2 linked regions of the Tamandua tetradactyla genome follow. The protein of the gene in region 1 purifies or fractionates together with the protein of each later gene. This does not show direct contact. Links are inferred from orthologs where the notes say so. Each region holds a gene or a part of one and is shown in the gene's direction. Other genes may lie near its edges.

What was found.
Region 2: the proteins of NRBP1 (region 1) and TSC22D1 purify together in Homo sapiens (affinity purification with mass spectrometry; 6 studies listed by BioGRID and IntAct, with this or other methods). This does not show direct contact. The link is inferred for Tamandua tetradactyla from reciprocal best matches to the Homo sapiens genes NRBP1 and TSC22D1.

What each region holds. Positions count from the first base shown.
Region 1 is NC_135329.1:11,351,344-11,359,110, forward strand, and holds the start of NRBP1 (nuclear receptor-binding protein), read left to right. Parts: upstream 1-4,741; 5' UTR 4,742-4,919; coding exon 4,920-4,989; intron 4,990-6,781; coding exon 6,782-7,011; intron 7,012-7,220; coding exon 7,221-7,343; intron 7,344-7,549; coding exon 7,550-7,651; intron 7,652-7,767. UniProt on the Homo sapiens protein: Required for embryonic development. Plays a role in intestinal epithelial cell fate and proliferation, thereby involved in the architectural development of the intestine potentially via the regulation of Wnt-responsive genes.
Region 2 is NC_135330.1:114,316,365-114,323,624, forward strand, and holds the start of TSC22D1 (TSC22 domain family protein 1), read left to right. Parts: upstream 1-4,197; 5' UTR 4,198-4,277; intron 4,278-4,531; exon of another isoform or gene 4,532-4,732; 5' UTR 4,733-4,912; coding exon 4,913-7,260. UniProt on the Homo sapiens protein: Transcriptional repressor. Acts on the C-type natriuretic peptide (CNP) promoter. Acts to promote CASP3-mediated apoptosis.

The sequences.
Region 1 (7,767 bases):
AGTCATGAGGTATACAACAAGGTGAATGACCTCGGGGACATTATGTTGTGCAGAATAAGCCAGGAACAAAAACACAAATATTGCATGATCTCTTTTAGAAAATACTTATAAGAAAATTGTGGCCTAGATTGTAAGCTCTTATGGCAGTCACATTTAGTCTGGAGTTGTGTTATTTCTAGATTCTGAGATGCAGTGCTATATGTGTATAACCTGGGATTTTCCAGGAACTTTGGGTACCTGTGTGACACCTAGAGTTCCACAGCTCTGAAGTCAGGACTGCTACGTACAACAACTGTTAAAGAAACCGAAAAAGATATAAGGCTTCAATTAGAGATAAGAGTGAAGCTGAACAGGTAGGGATTAAGGTAAATTCCAGGGCAAAAGATGACATTGTCTGCATTACAGAGTTTCACCTAGGTGTATGATACCAAAGGAAGAGAGGTTCATTTTGTCCAAAACCTAAATTTCTGTAGCACGCAATCTCACTCAACCTGCCTGGATTGTTCATTTGAACAATACAAACACATGGAGTCCATAATGGGAACAAGGACTTGTAATTCTGTATAGCTTAATGTAATACCCAGATACATCCCCGAGTATGTTGGGTAGATAACTTTTTAAAAAGTCCCCTTGAGGGACTGGAGAAAAAATATGGAACTATTAAACTTTCCCACTGGGGAAGCCACTGATACTCTCTCAAACATTAGAGATTCCCAACTTAATAGTCCAAACTCTTGAGTTTGCCCTTATGAACTTATTTCTATAGCTGGGTAGCTAAGCCTACCTATAATTATGCCTACGAGTTACTTCCAGAAAACTTATTGTTGCTTAGATGTGGCCTCTCTCTCTAAGCCCGACTCTGCATGTGAAATCATTGCCCTCCCCCCCATGTGGGACATGACATCCAGGGGTGGAAGTCTCCTGGCAACGTGGGACATGACTCCCAGGGATGAGTTCAGCCCTTTGTGGGATCAACAAAGCCCTTCCTGAAGAAAAGAGGGAAAAGAAACGTAACACAATCAGGAATCAGTGACTAAAAGAGTTCAAGTAGGGTCAAAAGGTTATTCTGGAGTCTACTCTTATACAGGCTTCAGCTAGTTATTGCTAATTACCACGGTTTGCCAAACCCCAACCTATATCATTCTTGTTAACCCTGAAGCACACCTAGGGCTCTACTTGAGATTCCACAAAAGATTTACATACTAAGTTTGGTTTGCAGAAACCTGTAACCTCCAGATGGTTCCTAGGCCAGATAAATCCTGAAACCTAGAGGGGCCAGCCTCTACAAGAACATCCACTAGTTCCATTCCCCTTTCCCATTTGTTGACACCTTTTCAGCATAAGAAGGGGCATAGCCAAATATCCCTAAAGATTGGGAGAAGGATCAAAGGAGAAGGAGTTATAATAGAGAAGATAGGAATTAATAATTATGACTGCTGAATCAGTATATTGACATTTCTTTCAGTCTCCCGTGTCTTGGAGAAGCTAAAAGGAAAAACATGAAATTGTGGAATTGCAACCCATATCAAAATTTAAAATCCCTTCATTCTATAACTACTTGTAACAATGTACTTTAAAATTTAGTGCTTTTTTTTTTTGCTGCATGGTCTGGGAATCTAACCTGGGTCTCCAGCATGAATGGTGAGCATTCTACCACTGAACAACCCATGCACCCTATATGTTTTATTTCACATTAAAAAAAACATTTCACAGGTGAGCAAAGTATATATGGTAACAGGAAGTTCATTGCAGCCTGTTGGGAACTGAATCATGTTCAGGTCTCGACCCCTGGTCCTGTAGATATGAACCTGCTTGTAAATAGGACCTCCGAAGATATTAGCTAAGGTCTGTCCAAATTGAATGAGTGTGGGCCTTAGTCCAATATGGCTGAGGTCCTGACAAGCAAAGGAAACTGGACACAGAAGAAGAAGCCACAGGGAGCAGCTAGAAGCTTCTCCCAAAGAGAAAGGAGAAGATGCTGCCATGTGCTTTGGCATGTGATGGAAAAACCAAGCAACCCCAGAGATTGCCAGCCAGGCAGAAGATACCTTCCAGCCTCTGAAAACATGAAGCAATAAATTTCTATTGTTAAGCCCACTGTTTGTTACTTGTTTTACCAATTAGGACAATAAACATTTTAAAATCTTTATTTATAATAATAAATATTGGAAATAAACTCCAGTGCCCACTGGCAGATATTAATTAAATAAACGTTGGCAATTGTTAAAAATTTAATACTATATATGCTGTCATGGAAAAAAGTAAAAGTAAATTGAGAAAGATTATGCAGTGTAAAATTGGTTTTACTTTAAAATTTTATACTCATAGAAAAAGAAACATGGAGAAATATACATTCAAGTCTTAATTGTTTCTGGGAAGTATGATTATAAAAGATTTTCACTTTCTATGGTAATTGCTAATTCATAGGATTGAGATGAGGCTTAAATGAGTTAATATCAGTTGTAAGGCAATGAAAACAGTGCTTAGCACTTAGAAGCTACTATATACATATTAAGTATTGTTTCTATGTTAAATATTTTGACTTTTTACAGTAAGCACGTTACTGTTCTTATAAATAAAGCAGGAAAAACAATTAATGGGGTGATGAAAATGCAGGCAGTAGGAAGAAAGTATGTGAACATTTTAAACATGAAAGGCAGGTTAAAAAGAGAGCTGGAAGATGCCAAATGATCTCCTGTCATATTGAGAGGGAAGTTAATGCTAAGGTCCCAGAGAGAGGAAAATGGGAAAGTATAATGATGGCATCAAGTGATATTTAATGAATGCTTACCATGGGCCAGGTGTTCACAGCTTTACAGCCCACAAGGAGAAGAGGGTAACCTGGGAAGAAGGCGCACCTTTTCCTTTGAGATTAGAACAAAGAATCTTAACCTCAGCTACCTGAAATTGTGTGCTAAATTTGTAGGGCAAATGCATTTTTTTTTTAATCCAAAAGAGGGCCCATAAGTGTCAACAGGTTTCCTAAAAGGGTGCTCGAGCTTTCTTTCAAAGGTAAAAGAATCAAGTAAAGGATGAAAGGGTGGCTATATACTAAAAATAAATATTTTGAGGTAAAGAGATGAAAAAATGAGACTTCTGCCAGAGACGGTTTTTTTTTTTTCTTCTTCCCAGAAGAGTAGGTTTAGAGATTCCCTTTTAAGGACAGTGACATTTGGCGATTATGACATTCTCAAGTTCTGATGACCGATTCATCTTCCCTCCTCATATGTCTAACGGTAGTGTGCGCTTCCATCCTTCAGGTTCCACCTTTTAGTTTTCGCAGATCAGTGGACTCACCTCGAATCTACCGTCCATTCTTCCCCCCTCCTTCCAGCTAATCTTAAATTTTTTTCCAGTCACCTTTTCAAGGAAGGCTTGATGAATCTGTTTCAGACTCTAGACTTGGCCCCCTATCAACTTAGCTTCGGGTAAATAGTTTAGTGTCTCTGATTCAGTTTTTTGCATTTGTGAACTGGAGATATGAGTAATTTCAATGTCATCTTACGGGTATCGAATGAGCTGTTTGTGAAAAGCTGCAAAGTTTCTGCAAACATCAGTGCTATGCAATCACAAAACGCAATTATTAATTTTCAGTGTACATGCGTTGTGATTTTTTAAAAAAAGCTTTCTCAAGAACTGGTGCTGGGGACTGTCTCCTGCCCAAATAATGAAGATGGGCGAGCGCTCCACTTGGACTGCGGCTACGTCTTTCGCTCCTTTTGTCTTTCGGTCGGGTTGGAAGTGTCATGGCGCCTTCGAGAAGAGAGGCAAGGCCTTCGTCCAGCAGAAGCATCAGGTGCACCTGGACTGAACGGGGGAGTGGACAGAGAGACGCGCCCGGGTTGGCACCGAGGAGGCCGAACCCTGGGTGACGGCCGGACCGGCTCAAGGGGAGAAGACGCGACCAGAGACAACCCTCGGACGCGCAGTCTCCCGCGGCACCGCCCACCCTCGCCGCCTCGGCCAATGGAAACCTAACGGCGCTGCGGCACCGCCCCTCTGTTGGTCAGGACGCCGCGAGGGCGGGGCCCGCAGTTCGGTTGCGCGGCGGAGCGCAGCTGTGAGGGAGTCGCTGTGATCCCGGGCCCCGGAACCCGAGCTGCAGCGCAGGCCGAGGGGCGCCGAGTCCGGAGGTGAGCGCCCTGGAGGGCGAGCGGGTGGGGAGGGGCGCGGGTGGGAGGCCGGCGAGCACACAGCAGGGTCGGCGTCCGAGGCCGGGGACGGCTGGAGCCCGGCAGGCCGGTGCTCGGAGGCGGCTCTGCTTACTGGGGAGCCCGGGCCGGCCTGCCAGGGCCCCACCCACTCCTCCGGGCCCTCGCCGGCTCCCCGACAGCGGCAGCGGCGGCGGGGGCCCAGAATTCTGTCGGCGCGGGCCGGGAGGGCCCCGGCATTCGCTCGGAACTCGGGCTGCCCGATGGGCGGGGCCCGGCGGGAAGAGCGCGGCGGGGGCGCGCGGGCAGCGCGGGGGCAGCGCGGGGGGCGTGGCCTCCGCCTCTCCGGGCGCCGCGGGCGCGGCGGGTGCGGAGCTGGCCGCCGCGCGCTCTCCAGGCCCGGCCAGGCGGGCGCTACTTTCCGGACGGCGGGCAGGCCGACCTGTTGGAGTGTGGAATTGAAGGGGCCTTCTTCCCCCGAGCTTGCCTCATTTCCGACTGGACCGACCTGCGGGTCTGAGGGGCCCTCCTTGGGCCGTTCAACGTGAGGACCGCCGGGAGGCCTGCAGCCTGCGAGTCGTTTCTGGGGGGTGACGTGCTGAGGGGCTGCGGTCCAACCAGGGAAAGTCTGCGAGAAAAACTTTTCCCAGAAGTACACTTGCTCTGCCGCCCGGGGTGGCTGGAGGTGGCCGGGAGGATCCCTTTAGGAACGTAAATTGAGCGAGTTATTAGCCAACTTCTGGCCCAGCATCACGTGAGCTTTTCCATATGCGACCGCTTTTAAATCTCTCAGCGACCATGAGGCAGAATTTCTGGTGTTGCAAAGGTTTCTTTGCCAGTAGGTGAAGTTCTCGGCACTGCCCTCATTTTACCAGCTAAGCGAAGTTTGGGGAGGGAGGAGCAAGCTCATTCCAAGGGCGTCTCTATGACTGATGAAGGCTTGCTTCTCTTGTGCCCTACTGTGAATTAGTTGTCTGTGGCCTGTGTCCAGAAGTTTCTTCAGAGCCCATTGGATACAGGCTTTCTATATTTGAATTTCATTTATATTTCTTATTGTAGTCCTACTGGAAATTTTACTTAGCTCTTCCAGATTCTATAGATGCATTCAGTGAACGTAGCTGCTCTAGGAAGTAACCCATATGAACTTTCTTCTCCATTGTCTTGGCTACTTTTCAGGGGAAGAAGGAAAATGATCTCTAGCTTACAGTTTCTTGTAGAGTATACTAAGGCAAGCAGTTAATAGCTTTCCTGGCTGACTGAAATCTCTCTAGAATAGGCAAGGACCTAGAAAATAACATGATGAAAGACTGTATCTTGTCAGAGTTTCTCCGTAGTGCTTGTTGTGTCCTGGTATTTACTGGTGTTATCTAATCAAAATCTGACTTGTGTTGAAAATAATGTGAGTTGAGGGCAGGAGTGGGCAGAAATGGGCAAGAGTTCTAAAGAGAAATATGGGCTTTTCGAAAGATTGGTGTTCATGTGGAGGCTTCTGGCAGACTAAATGGACCAAGAGAGGCAATAGAATATTACTTTCATACTGGAGCACCTAGCACACACAGGTTCTGACTTCTTCACAGCCTTTGTTCTTAAGAGTATGAAATACATTCAGTGGTGGTTTTGTGACTTTCTGGACAATTTGGTGATACTTAGCAACTTCTTCCAAGTAACTGTGTCCCTGAAAAAAAATGTTATACTGTATAGTAATTTTTCTTACAAAGGCTATCTCGAGTTATTTGTACTTGAAAGAGAAGTACCTATGTCAGAGATATTCCATTCCAGAGATTGGAAACGTGAGAGCCTTTGAGCTGTGTGAATCAAATGAAAGCTAGAAGCTTAAAGTCTTAGATCTGCCTTGAATTTGTGGCTCCATGAGACTGAAGATCTTGTTTAATATGTTCACTGTTGTATCTTGAGCACCTATCCTAGTGTTTGGCCCAAAGTAAGTGCTTAATAAACATTTGTTGAATGAATGAATGAAAAAAAAATGTTGCTGACCAATACTCATCTGCCACATTCACATCACAGGTATGGTGACATCATCAGAGATGAGGTCACTAACCATTGCCAGTCACCTGGCCCAAGGGTAGCCTCATCATGGATTGGCAGCCTTGTTGTATGTGTAGGAGGGATGGATAATGAATGTCAAGGTTGTTAGTTCTAGCTGGATAAATTGGCTAGGGGTACTACAAGTCTAGCCTAAGGGTTGGTTGAGTGGAACATTTTGCAGTCTGGAGTGAACTGTTCCAAACATGCCCATATAGCTTAGTTCTTGAGCACAGGGCAAATAGAGGCAGAAGAGAACTGAAAGGAAAGGCTGTTGAATGAGTATTTGCTGAGAAGGGTAGGGTCCTCTATTTTATTGTTCACTTGGACCTTACTAAAAACACTTAAATCTTGTGTTCGCCACTCATGCATGAGTTGTGTTCAACCATGGTAACTCCCCTTCTCTAGTTTAAAGTCAGGAGTGTAATGTTTCAACATTCAGACAGGACTAATTCTGATTTTGGGTTTAAAGGAAACAAGGTATGTGTTTTTCCTTTGAGGCCCTGGTTAAGTTACTAGGATTAAGTCTTTAGATTTATCCTGACCCTTTCTGCCTTCTTCCTCCATGTTTGCTCCAACCAACGCAGGCCTGAGCGTTGGTTCCAGCATGTCGGAGGGGGAGTCCCAGACAGTACTCAGCAGTGGCTCAGACCCAAAGGTAGAATCCTCATCCTCAGCTCCTGGACTGACGTCAGTGTCACCTCCTGTGACCTCTACAACCTCGGCTGCTTCCCCAGAGGAGGAAGAAGAGAGTGAAGATGAGTCTGAGATCTTGGAAGAGTCACCTTGTGGGCGCTGGCAGAAGAGGCGAGAAGAGGTAAGGTGGTGGTATTGTCACTCTTGAGAAATGAATACTAAGAGAGGAGAACTGGGGCAGGGAGTGAGGGAGCCCAAAAGGCACATGGGCAAAATTTTCAAGTGGGCAGAGTGAACGTCAACAGGTTGGGGGCTGGCAGAAGATAATTGTATTGAATCAGAGAGTTTGTAAGTTAATTTTAATTCCCTTTCATTTGAATTTATTCTCAGGTGAATCAGCGGAACGTACCAGGTATTGACAGTGCATACCTGGCCATGGATACAGAGGAGGGTGTAGAGGTTGTGTGGAATGAGGTACAGTTCTCTGAACGCAAGAACTACAAGCTACAGGAGGTAAGTAATGGTGAAAGGATGGGCCCTGGGGCGATTAGAACACAGCTTTCGTTAAAGTGGAATTGATAATGGAAAGCTGACTGAGGAGAGTGTGTTGGGGTTAGATAATTACTGGGGAGGGATAGAGAATGGGATGTAATGGGTTTTTCAGGATTATTACATTGATTTCTGAACCCTGTTTATCGGATTGTCTCCCTCACTCCCAGGAAAAAGTCCGTGCTGTATTTGATAATCTGATTCAGTTGGAACATCTCAACATTGTTAAGTTTCACAAGTATTGGGCTGACATTAAAGAGAATAAGGCCAGGGTAAGAACTCTTTCCTGGTATTTCCTGAGTTTAGTGCAATAAGAATGGCTACATTTATTGTTTCTTTTACATTTAGAGATTAAAACAAGGTAGTTTTGAAACAGAACCAAAGTTAG
Region 2 (7,260 bases), on another chromosome or scaffold:
CTATGACTTCTGATCTCATTCTAACAATTTTTTGAGAGAACAAATTAATTTATAAACATGCTAGAATACCCTTTAAGTTTCCTCGAGTAAAAATGTGGGGTTTGTCACGTCTCTAAGACATGTTTAAAAACTTACCTTTTTTTTTTTTAATCAGATGGCACTTAATTGTTACAGAGAAGTTACACTGCTGATGAAGCACTGGTTCTGCAGAATGATAACTCAGTGGAAACATCAGTTGTTGCCACTCACTGCTGTTCTGAGGGTCGGTACTCCTTTATGGCTCTTCCTGGCACTGCTTTTGGAGAATTACTTAGTTTTAAATACTGACCCATATGGCAGGTCACAAACAGGTAAATTGTGCTACAATGTTCAGCAAATTTTCTATTTTATAGTAGAATAAATACTAAATATAGCCAAATATACAGTCTGATCTGCAATGTGGCAATACCTAGATTTAAATCAACACTGAAGTACAGTCTAATCCTTTCATCAGTAGAAAGGTAATTGAGAGCAACACCTTCACAATGTAAACACTGAAATTCAGTCCAAAAGGTAAATGATAATTCTAAATAGTGGGTTCAAAGGATTGAAAACTTCTTTACACACAGCAGTAGGCATTTAATACATTAAAAAAATTCAAACTTTTTCAACAAAGATGGTAACATGTTTTAGTAACATGTTAACAGAGGGCTGTGGGGGGGAGGGGGAGAGAGAGGGAGGGAGGGAGGGAGAGAGAGAGGGAGAGAGAGAGAGGGAGGGAGGGAGAGGGAGAGAGAGAGAGAGAGAGAGAGAGAGAGAGAGAGAGAGAGAGAGAGAGAGAGAGAGAGAGAGAGGGAGGGAGGGAGAGAGAGAGAGGGAGAGAGAGAGAGGGAGGGAGAGAGAGAGGGAGAGGGAGGGAGAGAGAGGGAGGGAGAGAGAGGGAGAGAGAGAGAGGGAGAGAGAGAGAGGGAGAGAGAGAGAGGGAGAGAGAGAGAGAGAGAGAGAAGACATGGATACACAAACTCTGGTTTCCTTAATTGGAGAGTGGCATTTTGTCTTAGTGGGACTTGATGCAGCCCAATCAGGGGTTTGAAAGTGATAAGGCAGACAAAAATTAAATACATTTCAAAAGACCATATTTTCTTAAGTCTTATGTTATCCTGGAAAAGTAAAGCAGTAACAACGACAATATACTTTGCTAATGGTTAGTACTGTTTTCTTTAGGGTTATCTCAACAAATCATTCATTCTACCATATTAGGGTAAGTACTTTAATACGGTTTGTGTTTTTGTGCTTCAATCCATATCCACACAATCACACAGGTATTCAGGGGACCCACAGAGTGCTGAGCGCTGTTTGGGGTAATTTAAAACTTTGACCTAAGGCAAGATTTTGAGAGATCAAGAGCATTTTCTTTCACACTGTAGTCCAAAGAAACGGAATTCTGCCTATCTACATTCCATTGCAGATTCAATCGGTTAGGATAGTTTTTATTTTCCATGCAAAAACTGTTGACAGTGGATGGCAGCCATTAACCAGGAGTATCACTTGCAACAAAAGCTATTGGGGGATTAAAAAAAGAGATCATTTTTTAAAAATACAAATGGCCATACTTATCTAAATACACAATCACTCGTGTATTAATCCAAGAGTGTATTATCATAAAACGAGAAATAAAATATGGTGTGCTCAATTGTATTTGATATTTATCACCTTACCACTTTCAATATATGTGAGTGCCTTACTTTGTACCTTGCAGAGAGCTCCATATTAGTAATCTAAAGTAAAAAAATAGAGTCCCGGGTGGGCCATGGTGACTCAGTGGCATTGTTCTCACCTGCCACGCTGGAGACCCGGGTTCAATTTCCGGTACCTGCCCATGCAAAAAACAAAAACAAAATAAAACAAAAAAATATATAGTCCTGCCTTTTCTGTTTAGTGGGAGACACCGCAGGTAAAGCAACAATACATCATAGCTTTGATATTGTATTTGATTTCTGATAGACACGGGATGTTAAGGGTGCATTTCTACTCAATAACTTAAGAGAATGGTGACAATTTTAGCTTTTTGAGGGAGGGAATGAGGGGGAAAGTTCAGAGAAACCTAAAGGTAACACGCTGAGTTTTCAACTACAAGTTTATAAAAAATCTGAAAAAGATGACAATGTTAACATTTTAATAATCTCCTGAAATAAGAAGGTGGACCTCATGAGTATGTAAGGTTTCCTGAATGAGAGATCTAACCATAAATGTTTGGTCCCCCAACAACTTAAATTAAACAAATTCATCTATTGAATTTTCTTGGTCATGTTGTTGTTAAATTCCTGAGCTACAGGTAGTAAAAATAATAATAATAAAAATAAAATGCCCAGAGCGAGAATGTTTTGACATGCACTGCCGGGCAAACTACTTCTAGTAAATTGAGTCCAATCAAACCTGACATTGCTTCTGAACTACATTTAGACTCATGAAATGCTGACTCTTTTCTTTAAACGGGAGTTTCAGACGGCTTTTTCTTTTTTTCCCCTATAAGGCATTCTTCACTTATCGTTCCACGTGTTTCAACCATGTCTAGGCCACCCTGTCTTGTAAGACAACCTGGACAATGAAATGGAAAAGGCACAAGGGTTGAATAAGCGCCACCTGTTGAGGTCGGCGAGTTCACTGGGCTGGGTGCTGCTTTCCTCGAGGTAAGGATCGATCGCAACCACTCCTCTCCAAGGAGCGCCTACCCCCGGTCCTTGGGCAGTTAACTGCAAACCTCTGCAACCTCTGCCCCGCAGCTCGCCCCAGCCCGTCGGGGAGCGATGGGACCGCACGGTAGCTACAACGACATGCCACAAAGGGCGACACCCACCGCGGGGAGCCACTGGCCTCCCCGGGCCCCCGAAGCCACGGCCCCAGGCAACTCCGAGGGGCGAAGGCGGCGCGGGCCGGGGGCTGAGCCCAGGTGCGGCGAGGGGGAGGAGGACTCTGCCGCGAGCCGAGGAAGAAAGCCTGACTCATGTCGTGGCGGCAGCGGGCTCCAGGGAGCTGGAACTCGTGATGCTGTTGCTGCGGAGAAAAGCTTCATTACCCATTCCGCAGGCGGGGGACGCCACCCGCGGCACGCACGCACGCCCGGGACCCGGACCACAGCAGCCTCCGCGGGCCGAGCGCATGGTCCTGCCTTCCTCCCGGGTCCTCGAAGCGCCCCCTCCCCGGCTGCGTGCCCGAGCGCGCGCGCTGGCCGCGTGTGAGAAAAGAACAGACACACCTAACCAGCGCGGGCGCGCGCGCGCGCTCAGCTGCGGCCCCCGAGCTCCCCAGCCTTGCCCCACCCCCACACCGCCCGACCCGGATTCGCTCGCTCTGCGGAGATGCTCCCCAACCCCCCACCCCCACGACGACGGCGCCTCCGCCAGCCTTCGGCAATCTCCGCGGAAAGACCGAGCGACCGGCAAGGCCCGAAGACCTGCCGCCTCCTACCCCGCCAGACCAGGCTTTATGTCTACGGCGCCGGGGCGCATGCGCAGACGCCATCTTCCCTCCTTCTCCGCTCTTCGCCCCCTCCCCTTCCCCCGCCACCGCCTCCTTCTCTAGCCGGCGGTCGCCCCTCCTCCTCCTCCTCCTGCGCTCGGGCGCTGGTCCCTCCTCTCCCTATGCCGCGAGAGACCCGGGGAGCCGAAGAGCACTAGTAACAACCCCCTCAGTCCCCCGCCCGACCCCCTCCCTCAGCACCCACCCACTCACCCGCCCCGTTGGCCAACACCGAGCGGCCCCACCTCTCGTTCCTTTGAGCGGCGTCGGCTGCAGTCGCTGCACCAGCCCGTCTGGCCACCGAAGCTGCCGAGAAAGGAGTCGCCGCCGTCGCCCGGGGCTCTCCCGCCCCGGTCCGGCAGTAGCCGGGTGAGGACAAGCCGGCTGCGGAGGAAGAGGACGAGAGCGGCTCGCACCCCTCGGCGCTAGCCTACGGCCCGCCGCCCCCTGGGGAGGCTCGGGCGCCGGCCCCTTCCTCCCCGAGGACGCGTGCCGAGCTGAGGCGCCTGCCCCGAGGGAGGAAAATGCTCGGGCTCCATGGCTGCCAGTGATGGAGCGCTCCTTTGGCTCCGGCTCGCACCGCCGCCGTCGCGCCCCGGCCGCGCTCCGCGAGGACCCGGCGCCTCTGCGCGCCCGCCCGCTCCTCGTTGCCGGGCTCACCGTACCGGGCGCCCCGCCGCCGCCGCCGCCGCTCAGCTCGCAGCCTCGCCGCCTCGGCCCCAGCCGCGGCCAGCGTTTCCCCTCGGAGCAGCCGCCGCGAGCCCAGGGGGTTTGAAAGGGTCCGCGGGGCGTGGGGGGAGGGCGGAGCGGGCGCGACGGGACTGGGAGGGGAGGTTTGAGCGCCCCTGAGCTCGGGGCTCGTCCGCGACGGCGGCGCCGACGAGAGGCGGGCGGGACTCGCTCCGCGCCGTCTTCGTGCAGCGCGGCCGGGAGGGCTTTGCAGCCGCCGCTGGCGCCGCGGCGGGAGGAGCGGGTGGAGGTGGCTTCCGAGTTGGCGACTTGGCCGCGGAAGGTGGGCATCCCTCGGTCTCCTCTCACCCCCAGCCCCGCTCCCCTCCCCCGCTCGCTCGCTCGCTCCCTCCCTCCTGCCCCGCACCCCACGTGAAGGGGAATATAAAGGGGGGGTGGGTGGGGTGTGAGACTAGAGGGGAAAGCGAAGGGCGAAGGACTGAGGGGTCCCCCCTTCGGGTCCCCGGCAGCCTTGTTCACCCTCGTTCGTCCTCCCTTCCCGAAGCTCGCCCCCGGAGGCAGAAGCGACCGGCGCCTGTGCCTTCGGCTGAGGAGGAGGAGGAGGAGGAGGAATCGAGCCAGGCGGAGCGTGGGGTCCGGTTTTCCTCTCCGGCGTCTTGAATACAAAGATTACGGTGCAGACGGAAATTGCACTTGCCTCCTCCGCCCCCCAGTACCCAACACAATGCACCAGCCGCCGGAGGCCGCCGCCGACGTGAGCGCTAGGAAGATGGCGCACCCGGCAATGTTCCCGAGAAGGGGTAGCGGCAGCGGCAGCGCCTCTGCGCTTAGCGCAGCAGGTACCGGCGTCGGGAGTCATGCCACATCTGCCGAGGATCTGCCGCCCCCGTCGCTGCTCCAGCCGCCGCCCCCTGCAGCCTCTTCGTCGGGACCACAGCCTCCGCCCCCACAAAGCCTGAACCTGCTTTCGCAGGCTCAGCTGCAGGCACAGCCTCTTGCGCCAGGCGGAACTCAGATGAAGAAGAAAAGTGGCTTCCAGATAACAAGCGTTACTCCAGCTCAGATCTCCGCCAGCATCAGCTCGAACAACAGTATAGCAGAGGACACAGAGAGCTATGACGACCTGGATGAATCTCACACGGAGGATCTGTCTTCCTCCGAGATCCTTGACGTGTCACTCTCCAGGGCTACTGATTTAGGGGAACCAGAACGCAGCTCTTCGGAGGAGACTCTGAATAACTTCCAGGAAGCCGAGACACCTGGGGCCGTCTCTCCCAACCAGCCCCACCTTCCTCAGACTCATCTGCCTCACCTTCCACCGCAGAATGTTGTGATCAATGGCAGCGCCCACCCCCACCACCTCCATCACCACCACCACGGTCATGGGCACCACCTCCACCACGGGCACCACCATCCCGCACACGCCGGGGTGGCCGGTGCACCCATCCCTGGAGGACCCCCCACCAGCCCAATAGCCAGAAAACTCTCTACAACTGGAAGCTCGGACAGTGTTGTACCAGCTGCACCAACTTGTGCTGTATCATCAAGTGGGTCACCTGCATCTGTAATGACTAATGTCTGCACTTCGAGTACTCCTGGCGGTCTAGGTATACATTCTGTTCCTGGCACTAACACAGTGAATAATGTAAACCTTCCTGCTGTGGGTGGTTTTAATCCTAACGTGGCCAGCAGCATGCTTGGGAATGCTAATGTAAGTACGAGTAATATTCCCAGTGCTGCTAGTGTGAGCGGTGGGCCCGGAGCTGGCATTAATGTGAATATCTTGAGTGGCATGGGCAATGGAACTGTCTCTGCCTCCGTTGTGGGTAATATCCCTAACGTGGCCGCTGGGATGGCTGTGGGACCCATTTCCAGTCAGCAGCCACAACCGATGGTCAACACATCCAGGTTCCGGGTCGTTAAGTTAGATACCAGTTCTGAGCCCTTTAAGAAAGGCAGGTGGACTTGCACTGAGTTCTACGAAAAAGAAAACACTGTACCTGCCACCGAAGGTGTGGTGGTAAATAAAGCAGTGGAGACGGTAAAACAGAACCCAGCAGAGGTGACTTCTGAGAGGGAGAGCACCAGTGGGAGTTCCGTGAGCAGTAGTGTCAGCACACTGAGTCACTACACGGAGAGTGTGGGAAGTGGAGAGATGGGAGCCCCTGCCGTGGTGGTGCAGCAGCCACCACCACCACCAGCTCCTCAAGGTGTGGCCCCTCAACAGATGGATTTCAGTAGCACTGGTCCACAGAGTATCTCAGCAGCAAGTATACCACAGAGTGTTTCTCAGTCACAGATCTCCCAAGTACAATTACAGTCTCAAGAATTGAGCTATCCGCAAAAGCCAGGTCTTCAACCAGTACCTCTGCAAGCCACTATCAGTGCTGCACCTGGTATCCAGCCATCGCCTGTTAACGTTGTTGGTGTAACTTCAGCTTTAGCTCAGCAGCCTTCCATTTCCACTTTGGCTCAACCCCAACTGCCATATTCTCAAATGGCTCCTCCAGTGCAAACTCCCCTTCCAGGGCCACCACCCCAGCAGTTACAGTACGGACAACAGCAACCAGCTGTTCCTACACAGATGGCCCCAGGCCATGGTAAATCAGTGACTCAAAATCCCACTCCAGAGTATGTACAACAGCAGCCTATTCTTCAGGCGGCAGTATCCTCTGGACAGCCCAGTTCTGCAGGGGTGGGAGCAGGAGCAGTGATCCCTGTGGCTCAGCCCCAGGGTGTTCAGCTGTCAGTGCAGCCCCCAGCAGTCCAAGCACAACCTGCAGGGGCATCTGGCCAGCCCATGGGCCAGGCTCCAACAGCAGTGTCTGCTGTACCGACTAGCAGTCAGATGGTAAACATTGGTCAACAAGCAAACATACCTATTGCAGGGCAGCAGCCCTCCACCCCCGTCACACCTTCAGTTATTCAGCAAGGTGCTCCTCCAACTTCACAAGTAGTTCCACCTGCTCAAACTGGGATTATTCTTCAGGGAATTCAAACTAGTACTTCAAGCCTTCCTCAACAATTGGTCGTTGCACCCCAGAGTACTTTGTTAACTGTGCCTCCCCAGCC